3 linked regions of the Xenopus tropicalis genome follow. The protein of the gene in region 1 purifies or fractionates together with the protein of each later gene. This does not show direct contact. Links are inferred from orthologs where the notes say so. Each region holds a gene or a part of one and is shown on either strand. Other genes may lie near its edges. The genes, in order: cops7b, cul4b and cul5.

What was found.
Region 2: the proteins of cops7b (region 1) and cul4b purify together in Homo sapiens (affinity purification with mass spectrometry; 6 studies listed by BioGRID and IntAct, counting the BioPlex papers as one, with this or other methods). This does not show direct contact. The link is inferred for Xenopus tropicalis from reciprocal best matches to the Homo sapiens genes COPS7B and CUL4B.
Region 3: the proteins of cops7b (region 1) and cul5 purify together in Homo sapiens (affinity purification with mass spectrometry; 3 studies listed by BioGRID and IntAct, with this or other methods). This does not show direct contact. The link is inferred for Xenopus tropicalis from reciprocal best matches to the Homo sapiens genes COPS7B and CUL5.

Annotation. Positions count from the first base shown.
Region 1 is NC_030681.2:101,198,383-101,202,034, forward strand, and holds part of cops7b (COP9 signalosome complex subunit 7b), read left to right. Parts: intron 1-2,734; coding exon 2,735-2,937; intron 2,938-3,652. UniProt on the Homo sapiens protein: Component of the COP9 signalosome complex (CSN), a complex involved in various cellular and developmental processes.
Region 2 is NC_030684.2:46,091,619-46,095,951, forward strand, and holds the start of cul4b (cullin-4B), read right to left. Parts: upstream 2,858-4,333; 5' UTR 2,666-2,857; coding exon 2,254-2,665; intron 1-2,253.
Region 3 is NC_030678.2:159,969,505-159,973,736, reverse strand, and holds the start of cul5 (cullin-5), read left to right. Parts: upstream 1-1,422; 5' UTR 1,423-1,446; coding exon 1,447-1,470; intron 1,471-4,232. UniProt on the Homo sapiens protein: Core component of multiple cullin-5-RING E3 ubiquitin-protein ligase complexes (ECS complexes, also named CRL5 complexes), which mediate the ubiquitination and subsequent proteasomal degradation of target proteins.

The sequences.
Region 1 (3,652 bases):
CATTAAGATTTCACTGTCACCCCTGTCCTACATAAATGAATGATGCCATATTGTTTTTCTGTACTGGCAATAGTGAAACATTCACTTTACAGCCACTAAGGGTGATGTTGTATTTGTGTTAAACTTGAAAATTTCAGGACACCTTTTCAATCAGGCACTGCAGTTATAGCAGACAAGATAATCCAGTACAGAATATGCTCACTGTAGCATAGTTGGGACACCTAGGCTGCATACAGAGTGTTTCATTGCTACTACAGCAAACCCCATCTTCCATTCAGTGTGTTTTAGTTGTAGTAGCTGATAGGAGCCAATTATCAGGTAGCTTTTACTAGTGTACTTTTGGACTTGGACATTTGATTGTTTGAGTTTCTAGACCTGCAGCAAACATGCCTGTTATTACATTACTCTTTTTGTTTCCCTGATTGTATGCCCTTGAGAACAATTCATGAATTGGTCTGATCATTTGGCCCTTAAGCTCTTGAGCTTCACAGGCTACATGTACCTTCCAACAAAATTTAATGTCCACAGCTTTTAAAGGTACTCTTTAGATTTCTCAGTGTGACAACATAACTTAATATAATTTGAGGAACATGTGGTATAATTACATAGAAAATTGCGGACAGTTTTTTTTTATAGAGTCTTGGGCCTATGTGCTTATGAGAGGGATACCAGTTCTTTCATTTGATAGAGAAGAAAAAAATAAAGAATACTCATAAAAAAACAGCTGTAAACTTAAAATAGCTTAACAAACTGTTCATGTAAAAAGATCACCAGTTTCTTAACACCAAGCTGCTGGAGCTTTGTCAATCTCTTACAAAATGAAGTGCAATGGAAAAAGAAATTTATGAAACTTTAAATTTTGACTGGAGAGGACGTGACATTACATGATGTTTATATGGACACTGCTATTTTCCTTTGTTCTGTTAGCAAGGATTCAGCTTATGGCATTTATAACTTTTTCCATTTTTTTTCTGTCAGCTAAGTTCTTTTCCACTTTATGACTTTCACCAAACTAGTAAATCTGGTCCAGTAACTAAGCTGGGGAGGTAAGGGAGAGAGTGCAGGGAAGCACAGAGCTCTCTAGAGAGAACTAATTAGCTCTGTTTTTAAGTAGGGATTGTGCAGCAGGCTCCCGTGGTGGTCATGGTGCTATGTTGCTTGCCCTAGAGGCGTACAATATTCTAAGCATTTCTAAATGTGCCGTGTTTGCGTGTTCCAGCTCCGTGATGCTGATTGTCCAATTTAAGTTATAGAAGAAGATTTAAAGAACTTGCTTGTTTGAACTGTTGCTTTTTTTTTGCATATGCTTATACCATGTAAATAAAATTACAAATCACCAGTTGACATGTTTAAAGGGTTTATATCTATAATAAAATGTCAGTAATACAAGGAAATGAAAATGCAGAAAAGAATTTACCACATTATGACATATTACAAAAAGCAGCACAGAAAGAAGAACTCTGCTTTCTTTTGTATGATAAAGCTTTCTAAATATGCAATTATTTTTACTCAATTTAATGTAAAATTGCATGGGTATGTTCATTAATATTCTTAATGTTTCACTTAGTCTGCACTTCTTTATTTTTGCTAAATTATTTATTATGCAAATAAAGCATGATGTTTTCTATTTAAAGAGATAGTGGGAAATTTTTTTGGAATTAAAAGATTTTACTATGCAGTGCAATGGCACCATTAAGTTTTTCTGTAAATTAAGACTGACTAATTGTGTGTGTGTGTGTGTGTATATATATATATATATATATATATATATATATATGTATTATATATATATATATATATATATATATATATATTATATATATATATATATATATATATATATATATATATATATATTTATATTTTATATATATATATATATATATATACATACAAAAACAAAAGAGGAGCACACCCTATAAATAAAGCAAATGCCCTTGGTGCTGGTCAAACAATTTTGGTAGACAGACAGAGTACCGCACACAAAGGGACTTTATATAGAAAACAAAAATATTTATTGAAAAAAATCCGACGTTTCGAGCACCAAACTGTGCTCTTCCTCAGGGACAAACCAAAAGAAAAAATACATACACACCCCTTAAATACCCTACTGTGCAAAATGGCGCCAAAAAGTGCAGGTCATCACCATAGTAACCAATGTAAACAGATAAATACACAAAGTAAAAATCACAAATACAATACATGAACATAATTGCATATACAGCTGGTTACTAAAGGAAATCACAGACAAAAAGGAAATGAAACAAAAAGAATATGTGTAGCCGATGTGCAGAGTGAGAGTATCAATGTAGATAAGATACAATGTTATAGATCAGTGAAATGGGAGAGTCCCCACCAGAAGCAAGTGCACGTTGCCATTTAGAGCTGACCGAGAAGTAAAACAATAAATAGCTTACTGGGAAGCTTCCCCACCGCTTACATTGGTTACTATGGTGATGACCTGCACTTTTTGGCGCCATTTTGCACAGTAGGGTATTTAAGGGGTGTGTATGTATTTTTTCTTTTGGTTTGTCCCTGAGGAAGAGCACAGTTTGGTGCTCGAAACGTCGGATTTTTTTCAATAAATATTTTTGTTTTCTATATAAAGTCCCTTTGTGTGCGGTACTCTGTCTGTATATATATATATATATATATATATATATATATATAAATGTATTATATGACCTGAGTCTTTGGCAGTGGTAGCTTCAAAAATGTATTCTTTATGTCTCAGTGCATTCCTTACTCAGTTCTCTTGAAAGATCTGGAAATGAGGAACCTCAGGGAGCTGGAGGATCTTATCATAGAAGCTATTTATACAGACATTATTCAGGGCAAACTGGATCAGCGCAACCATGTGCTAGAGGTTGATTTCTGCATCGGACGGGACATTCCCAAAAAGGACATCAGTAGCATTGTCAAAACACTTCAAGAGTGGTAAGCACTTGTTCCTGATTTTATATAAGCGTGTAATAGAATACCTCTTTTTCCCTTTATTCAAGGTGGTGTTTTCAACAAGAGGGTGAAATTATCAGCCTAAACCTGTCCGTCCTGTGGATACCACAAATTTCGGTCCTGCCTGCACACCACTAGTTCACAATAGTTTTTTTTGTATATATGTATGTATAATCTTTATTTATAAAGCGCTACTTATGTATGCAGCGCTGTACAGTAGAACACATTAATACAAAGAGGGTTTTTTTTAAGATAATAGATAAATACAAAGTATAACAATAAATTCAAATAAATACAAGACACAGTTGCAATAAGTCAGACACAAGAGGATGGAGGTCCAAATATATTAAATTTTTTTGGGTGTCAAATGATCAGGTCAGCCTGATTTGGCCCACTACCTGAGTAGCCAATTGATATATTTATATAATCATTTTTTCATGTGGAGGTGCATTTCATTTAATGCTCTATTCATTGCTGCTTAAAGTGGATTTCATTTATAAAATTAGTTATTAGTGTGATAGACTAGGGTTTATTAATACAAAGAGGGTTTTTTTTCATGTGGAGGTGCATTTCATTTAATGCTCTATTCATTGCTGCTTGAAGTGGATTTCATTTATAAAATTAGTTATTAGTGTGATAGACTAGGGTTTATCAGTTTTTATTTTCATCTTCCCATGCTCATGTTGATCTTGTTACA
Region 2 (4,333 bases), on another chromosome or scaffold:
CTTAATACATTTTTTTCCCATTACCCCAGAATAAAAAAACAACCACTCTATAAAAAGCCAGAAAAAAAAACGCAAGTATCCCTTGGTGCTGCAGAGGTTTGCCACTGCAAATACATAGACATACATAATACTCCTTTGTAAACAGTAAACAGTGTATTGTTGCTCTTTGTATCACCGTTTACCAATAAATGTGGCAATGCTCCTTTATACTGTATGAGCAGACAAGTTCTTTTGCCGAGAATTCCTTCATTTCTACTTCAAGCCTGTATATGAAACAGTACTACAATTTAGGTGTGCATTGTGTCTGTTTGATATAGGATTAGTTGTACTATTAGTATATCAGAAAAAATCACAAGCACTTAATACCAGTTGTACAAAAAAATGAAGAGGCTGGTAAGGTCTTTTGCCAAAACAGAGTAATTTTTTTTTTTTACATACAATTACTACTTTTTAAAGGCAAACTAACAGCACAATTTCCTGAGTTTCTACCTTATTTTAGCTGCATCAGCTAAACCTTTATATATAAATTTATTATGGGCATACCCAGGGCTGTATATTGGTCATGTGCCATCCTAGGCACCAGCCTAGTTTACCCCCCCCCCACTTAGCAACTGGTGCACATGCATTGCAGTTTGCATAATGCTCATGCACCAATAACTGATAGAAATTTCTTAGAAATTATTAAATTCCCCCACTTTGCACTAAGGCCTCTGGCACACGGGGAGATTAGTCGCCCGCGACAAATCTCCCTGTTCGCGGGCGACTAATCTCCCCGAAAATGTAAATCGCCAGTGGGATGGCATATGCGGCAGGGCAATTTCAGTGAAATCGCGGAAATTGCCTTGAGGAAACATCCGTGATTTCACTGAAATCGCGCCATCCCGATTTACATTTTCGCCGGTGGGATGGCATTTCGGGGAAATTAGTCGCCCGCGAACAGGGAGATTTGTCGCGGGCAACTAATCTCCCCATGTGCCAGAGCCCTAAAGAGATCAGGGCCAGAAGCCACATTGATACCACTAAACAATCTGTTTGCAAATGTCAACAAACACACTTCTGTGTGGGCCCAAAATGAACCAGCCTGACCTGATTCTGATTAGCCATGTTAGTAAATGGTGAATAGCCTCACAAATCTGTGTAAAGTGTTGCAGTTATCACCTTAACAGTTATTTAGCAGATTGTCTAAGGGCTCTGGCACATGGGGAAATTAGTCGCCCACAACAAAACTCCCTGTTCGCGGTCGACTAATCTCCCCAGATTGCCATCCCACCTGCGAAAATGTAAATCGCTGGCGGCGTGATTTCAGTGAAATTGCGCAAGTTGCCTCGAGAGGAAACCTGCGCGATTTCATTGAAATCGCGCCACCCCGTATGCCCGAGACACAGGTGGGATGGCATTTCAGGGAGATTAGTCGCGGGCGACTAATCTCCCCGTGTGCCAGAGCCCTAAGGGCAAGGATGCTTTCTGTTGATCTGAAACCATCCTACAAAAGCTCCCGTGTAGTTTAGTCCTGAATGTTGCTTCACTAACACCAGCATGATTTGTGTGTTGTGTGTAGACAAATGCCTAAAATAAACAGTGTTCACTTTCAAATTATTCTGGAAGTGGACATTGAAGAAAGATTTTCAGTGTTTTGGCACTGGTCCCATGAGATACTAAAAAAAAAAAAAAAAATGGCTTTGGCCAATGAGTCCCACAGGAATATTGACACTGCAGCTTAGATCGGTTGTGACAAAGATTTTTTTTTTAATAGAAAAGATTGCCTTTGCATTGAAGATATCCCTTAACTGTAGCGCTCTTAGTATTGACACACAGATCTGGTTGGGTCAAACAGGAATGCTTGTAACAAGCATCAAATCCCCTAAGTGCTCCAAAATATTGCGGATCCCTATAGAAAGAATCAAGCATTACCAGCTTAAAACACTTTGGCTTTATGCTGGTTAGGAGTGCATCAATACACAAGCCCTTAGAAGTCAAAACTGCCATTCCAGATAGATTCAACCATAATAAAATAACGCCAAAAGGAAACTGTAATTTTACCATCATGAAAAAACCAAACAGGCAAACGTTTGCCCCAAACTACTGGGTGACACAAGACAGCATGCTAGTTTCTGAATTCCAAATTAAAGGAGATTTTATTTTGACCAGAGCACCCTTGTAATCACCTGGTCCTTAAGCACATTCTGGTCAAAGTATTACACTCCCTGAAGTGACCTATCAAAGAGCTGATTGAATGGTGCCATCCCTCTTTACCTTTAAAGTTCTTGATGACTAACTTCTTGGCTGAGCCAGGCTTGCTGTTGGCAAAACTGGACACGGGTGAGGCTTTTGTGAGGCCATTGGCATGATGCCCAACGCCCACTGGGGAGATGAGCAGGTTTTTACTCCTCACTGCCTGGGGAGTAGAGGAGGATGAGCAGGAAGAAGAAGGAGACTCCTCGGCCATCTTCACATCGAGTCCTAGAAAGTCCAAAGTGTCTTCAAAACGCAGCTTCTTTTGGATGTGGTTAGAGGAGGAAGAGGAGTTTCTGGGGGGCGACAGGGGGTCCAAATCGTCCTTATCGCTGCTGCTGATATTCAACCTTCTCTTTTTGGAGGTGCTGTTTCCCTCAGTCCTTACCTCCTGCGCCGGGGGGTTGGGGGTTGATAAGCCTGTGGGAAACATGAAAACACCACAAATAGAAAAGATTCAAGGCAGCCCAGACTGTGTGTGACCGCTGGATCGTGTGGGGACCGCAACAAACAGCTAACGTGGCCCTTTGGTTAGCGCTTCCCAGTGGCCCCCTCGGCAGGCACTCTGCTTTAGTTCTGCTCGGTGAAGGCCCCGGCCCCGCTCTCCGGATATCCCCACTCTTTTTCTTGTTTATTGTCACAAGAGCAGGGAACCAAAGATGGCCTCACTTCCTCTCGCAGTGCATGTTGGGAAGAGTTCCCCAGGAGGCTGCCGTGAGCCCACACCCCTTCCCAGCCGGGACAGTCAGGGAGCCTTTGACGCCAGCTGCTGCCAAACTATCAAAACCAAAGGGGTAGCGCTTACTGCATTAACTATAGCGCGAAAGGCTGGCTGTGTTCCCTCTCTCCCCTCCCCTTTTTATTCTACTGTGATGTCATGGCAACCTTCGTACCTTGTTTTGACTGACCGGAAGGACTAGCGATGAGGTCTTTCATAATGCCCGACCGTGCGGGCCTCATCCGTCCCCTTTCTCCTCGCCGAGCTTCCGCCTTAGGTTGGTGCCGGCGAGGAGTCCCGACAAGGGGAAGGAAGGGGCTGAGGCTGGAAACTACTCGAGGGGGAGGAGTCGAGGGTTGAATATTCCCGCCTCTGTAGTGACGCCTAAAGGGAATAAGGACCAATAATCAGCTTGGTTTGGGTGACATTTCCCCCTGATGCCTCCACATGGTACCGCCTGTTCAGCAGCGTGGGGGCCGGAGAGGCTTAGAATAGTTACATAAAGGAGAGCGCCAGTAGTTGCGTGTGACGCTTCCCGCTTAAAATGAGTTCCTTGTGGAAGCTCCTCAGTAACTACTCAGTACTACTACTCAGTAAGCGTCAAACATGAAGTTTGTGTCTGAAAGCAATGTATAATGGCGTGTATAGCAGGGATGAAAAGTACATATATTAACCCCACTATTCATTTAAGTGCCAGATTAAAATAAACTTATATCATACAAAGTGGTCAATTTGGGTGATATAATAATCTCTGGGAGAGTAAGGCTTCCCATTGGATTACGCAGCTGTATACCAGATTCTGACTGAAAGCAATGGCTGAATGTGTTTTTTTTTTATAAAGCAGCTATTCTGGGTTCTCTATGTGCTTGTGAGCCTGCATACAAGTTATAACACCAGCAAAAACAACACATGTTAAGCACACCAAAAGGTGTATGCTCATACTTAGTTTCAGCACTTGACCCTATTCAATTGTTTTTTTTTTTTAACAGATATGCAAGCACTGGTCACTGCATAAAGCACTTATGAATCATCTGGTAAAGCTTAATAGAGATGTTACATATAACTAAATAACTAATTTGGGTTGACAAAAGCCCAAAGCCTATCAAGTTCAACATCTCTAAAAACCCCAGTGCACAAAAATACACATACCTATATAGACCAATCTATACACTTACAAATATAAACTATATATACCCAAATAATGTTGAAGCTAGGTGTTTGTAGAACTCACGGGCGTTGCTGCCATGAGGCGAGTTGAGAAACTCACATTAGGCTGTATTGCCTGGCAAGTTACTGGAGGCGGCAAAAAGCCCCTTCAGGTAACTTAAAGAGCCTTGTGTATACTTTAATGCTCATTGTAGATTGTAAGCTCTTTTGGGCAGG
Region 3 (4,232 bases), on another chromosome or scaffold:
AACATGTAAGAGCCCAGTGGTGCCCATACACCTCAGCCTGGCAGTATAGTTACACAAGTAACATGTAAGAGCCCAGTGCTGCCCATACAAGTAACATGTAAGAGCCCAGTGGTGCCCATACAAGTAACATGTAAGAGCCCAGTGCTGCCCATACAAGTAACATTTAAGAGCCCAGTGCTGCCCATACAAGTAACATGTAAGAGCCCAGTGCTGCCCATACAAGTAACATGTAAGAGCCCAGTGGTGCCCATACAAGTAACATGTAAGAGCCCAGTGCTGCCCATACACCTCAGCCTGGCAGTATAGTTACACAAGTAACATGTAAGAGCCCAGTGCTGCCCATACACCTCAGCCTGGCAGTATAGTTACACAAGTAACATGTAAGAGCCCAGTGCTGCCCATACACCTCAGCCTGGCAGTATAGTTACACAAGTAACATGTAAGAGCCCAGTGGTGCCCATACACCTCAGCCTGGCAGTATAGTTACACAAGTAACATGTAAGAGCCCAGTGCTGCCCATACAAGTAACATGTAAGAGCCCAGTGGTGCCCATACACCTCAGCCTGGCAGTATAGTTACACAAGTAACATGTAAGAGCCCAGTGGTGCCCATACAAGTAACATGTAAGAGCCCAGTGGTGCCCATACAAGTAACATGTAAGAGCCCAGTGGTGCCCATACAAGTAACATGTAAGAGCCCAGTGCTGCCCATACAAGTAACATGTAAGAGCCCAGTGCTGCCCATACAAGTAACATGTAAGAGCCCAGTGGTGCCCATACAAGTAACATGTAAGAGCCCAGTGCTGCCCATACACCTCAGCCTGGCAGTACAGTTACACAAGTAACATGTAAGAGCCCAGTGGTGCCCATACACCTCAGCCTGGCAGTATAGTTACACAAGTAACATGTAAGAGCCCAGTGCTGCCCATACACCTCAGCCTGGCAGTATAGTTACACAAGTAACATGTAAGAGCCCAGTGCTGCCCATACAAGTAACATGTAAGAGCCCAGTGCTGCCCATACAAGTAACATGTAAGAGCCCAGTGGTGCCCATACACCTCAGCCTGGCAGTATAGTTACACAAGTAACATGTAAGAGCCCAGTGCTGCCCATACACCTCAGCCTGGCAGTATAGTTACACAAGTAACATGTAAGAGCCCAGTGCTGCCCATACAAGTAACATGTAAGAGCCCAGTGCTGCCCATACAAGTAACATGTAAGAGCCCAGTGCTGCCCATACAAGTAACATGTAAGAGCCCAGTGCTGCCCATACAAGTAACATGTAAGAGCCCAGTGCTGCCCATACACCTCAGCCTGGCAGTATAGTTACACAAGTAACATGTAAGAGCCCAGTGGTGCCCCACGTGACCCGGCGGCGGCGGAGCCGCTAATCTCGCGTTGGGCCTGAGATCTCGCGGGATCCGGCGGGAAGACAAGTTGAGGGAACATGGCGACGTCTAATTTGTTAAAGGTAAGAGGAGCCACCTCTCTGTACTGTCCGCTGCTCGTATGCCGTGGGAGGTCGGGACACACAGCCCAGCCCCACCCCGGTTCCGGCAGCCTTGGTTAGTAAGCCGGTCAGTGCGTGTCAGCCCCCCTGGCCGCTGCATTTGCCCATTACCGATCTTCCCATCCCCCGCATATCTGCACACCGGTAGCTGTGTGGGGATAGAAAGCTGCACACCCAATGGGTTATTGGGGGAGCGCAAAGCTGCCGCTTTCCTGCTGTGGCTGCTGCTTCCTACAGGGGGCGTTGCGTTGAGTATGTGAGCTTTGAGTTCCAGTCTAATGCAGTTATATAGGGGGGAGAGGGGGGTTTTCTTAGGTAGAGAGAAGTTTAAGGAGTTCAGGTAATTGATTTCAGAGATCACTGTGGGTGTGAGTTGTAGTTCACCAACAGCTAAATGTGGATATCTCTGATCTAAAATAGCTACCACTTGATTGACAGCTAAACACACCCCCAGGGGCCCCAGAGGTGGAGGGGCCCAAGCCTAATGTCTTCTGTTTTATGCCAACCTGGCCCCTGTGCAAATCCTGCGCTACCTCCTCTAAACTGGAGAGAGTTGGGTACAGGTAATAAGCAGGACTACTGGCCTCTGGGTGTTTCCTAACTGACAACACCAGCACTTGGATCAGAACGCACCAGCACTTGGATCAGAACGCACCAGCACTTGGATCAGAACGCACCAGCACTTGGATCAGAACGCACCAGCACTTGGATCAGAACGCACCAGCACTTGGATCAGAACGCACCAGCACTTGGATCAGAACGCAACCAGCACTTGGATCAGAACGCACCAGCACTTGGATCAGAACGCACCAGCACTTGGATCAGAACGCACCAGCACTTGGATCAGAACGCACCAGCACTTGGATCAGAACGCACCAGCACTTGGATCAGAACGCACCAGCACTTGGATCAGAACGCACCAGCACTTGGATCAGAACGCACCAGCACTTGGATCAGAACGCACCAGCACTTGGATCAGAACGCACCAGCACTTGGATCAGAACGCACCAGCACTTGGATCAGAACGCACCAGCACTTGGATCAGAACGCACCAGCACTTGGATCAGAACGCACCAGCACTTGGATCAGAACGCACCAGCACTTGGATCAGAACACACCAGCACTTGGATCAGGACCCCAAGCCAACCTGGATCTGAACAGCAGCCACCAACATCCCACTGACAGAATAATGCTGTTTGGGTGCTGGAAGCTGAACTTCAGCATCGTCTGGAGAGTGGGCTTGCCCTTTAATACTAGCCACGTATGGAATCCACATCCTGGTTTATTAGCAATTAATTTAGATGCTATATGATTTATGTGAAGCCATGCAGCATGCATCTAAAGCAGGAGTAGGGAACCTATGGCTCGAGCGCCAGATGCGGCTCTTTTGATGGATGCATCTGGCTCAGTGCCAAATCTTTAATAAAAAAAATAATGGGGGGCGTGGCCTGCACTCGGCGGATAGAAGGCGTGTTCTAAGCCATGTCCGGCATCCTTGGGACCCACCCTACCTTGCCCCGCAGCATCCGTGGCCAAACATATTGCATGGCTCTCACGGAATTACATTTTAAAATATGTGGTGTTTATGGCTCTCTCAGCCAAAAAGGTTCCCAACCCCTGGTCTAAAGTAATTGCTAAATAGCCATGCAGGATGTGGATTCAATTAGTGATACAGGAATTTATTATTATTATTAACATTTATTTATAAAGCGCCAACATATCCCGCAGCGCTGTACAATAAGTGGGTTACATACATTGGACATACAGAGTAACATATAAAGCATTCAATAACCGATACAAAAGGTGAAGAGAGCCCTGCCCAAAAGAGCTTACAATCTACAAGGAGAAAGGGTTGAAACACAAGGAATCAGTTCTTTGCAAACAATTTGCGGGGAAAATTCTCAAAATGCATTAAAGTCAACGGGCGGTTTTCCACAGATACAGCGCAACCTTTTTTTGTTTGTTTTATTGGTCTTTGGAGTCCGAGGTGGCTGTTTTTTTCATGGTGAAACCTGGCAAAAAGATTTTGCTCATCACTAGATTCAATATGAGCCCAGTACAGGTATGGGACCTGTTATTCAGAATGCTTGGGACCCGGGGTTTTCCAGATAAGGCATCTTTCCCTTAAGTCTGCTAAAAATCGATTAAATAAACCCAATAGGACTGGACCAATAAATTCTACCTGCTGATTGGTTGCTCCTGGGCAAACTTAGTGCATTACATAATCCCTAATAAGCCTAAAGGTTAGCCAAGCGAGCGGCTCTTCTCCCGATATCCCCCACCTACAGGTGGGCGAAATCGGGAGAATCCAGGCTAATTCGATCGTTTGGCCTTGGGGCCCTGATCCGACTAGATTTTATAACCTGCCCGATCGAGATCTGGCCGATTTCAGGCCAGATATCGGTCGGGCAGGCCCGTCGGTAGTGCCCATACACAGGCCGGGCCTAAATGGATGAGCTAATTTGTTCCACTATATTCTGCCCGTTGTATCAATTATTATTCATATCTGCATTTTGGCATAGTCACATTCCATTTCTCCTGCTGAATAGGGAGTACAAGGGAATGATGTGTGTCATTCCCTCCACACTGTGCGATAACAAGATGCTTTACTGGAAAACACGCGGCAAGTAACTTTCTAAAAGGACGGTTGCGACGACTAATCAAAGCATTGGGCAAATACTTTTAAGGCAAAATTATAAATAGCGTGCAAAGACAAAGTAAAA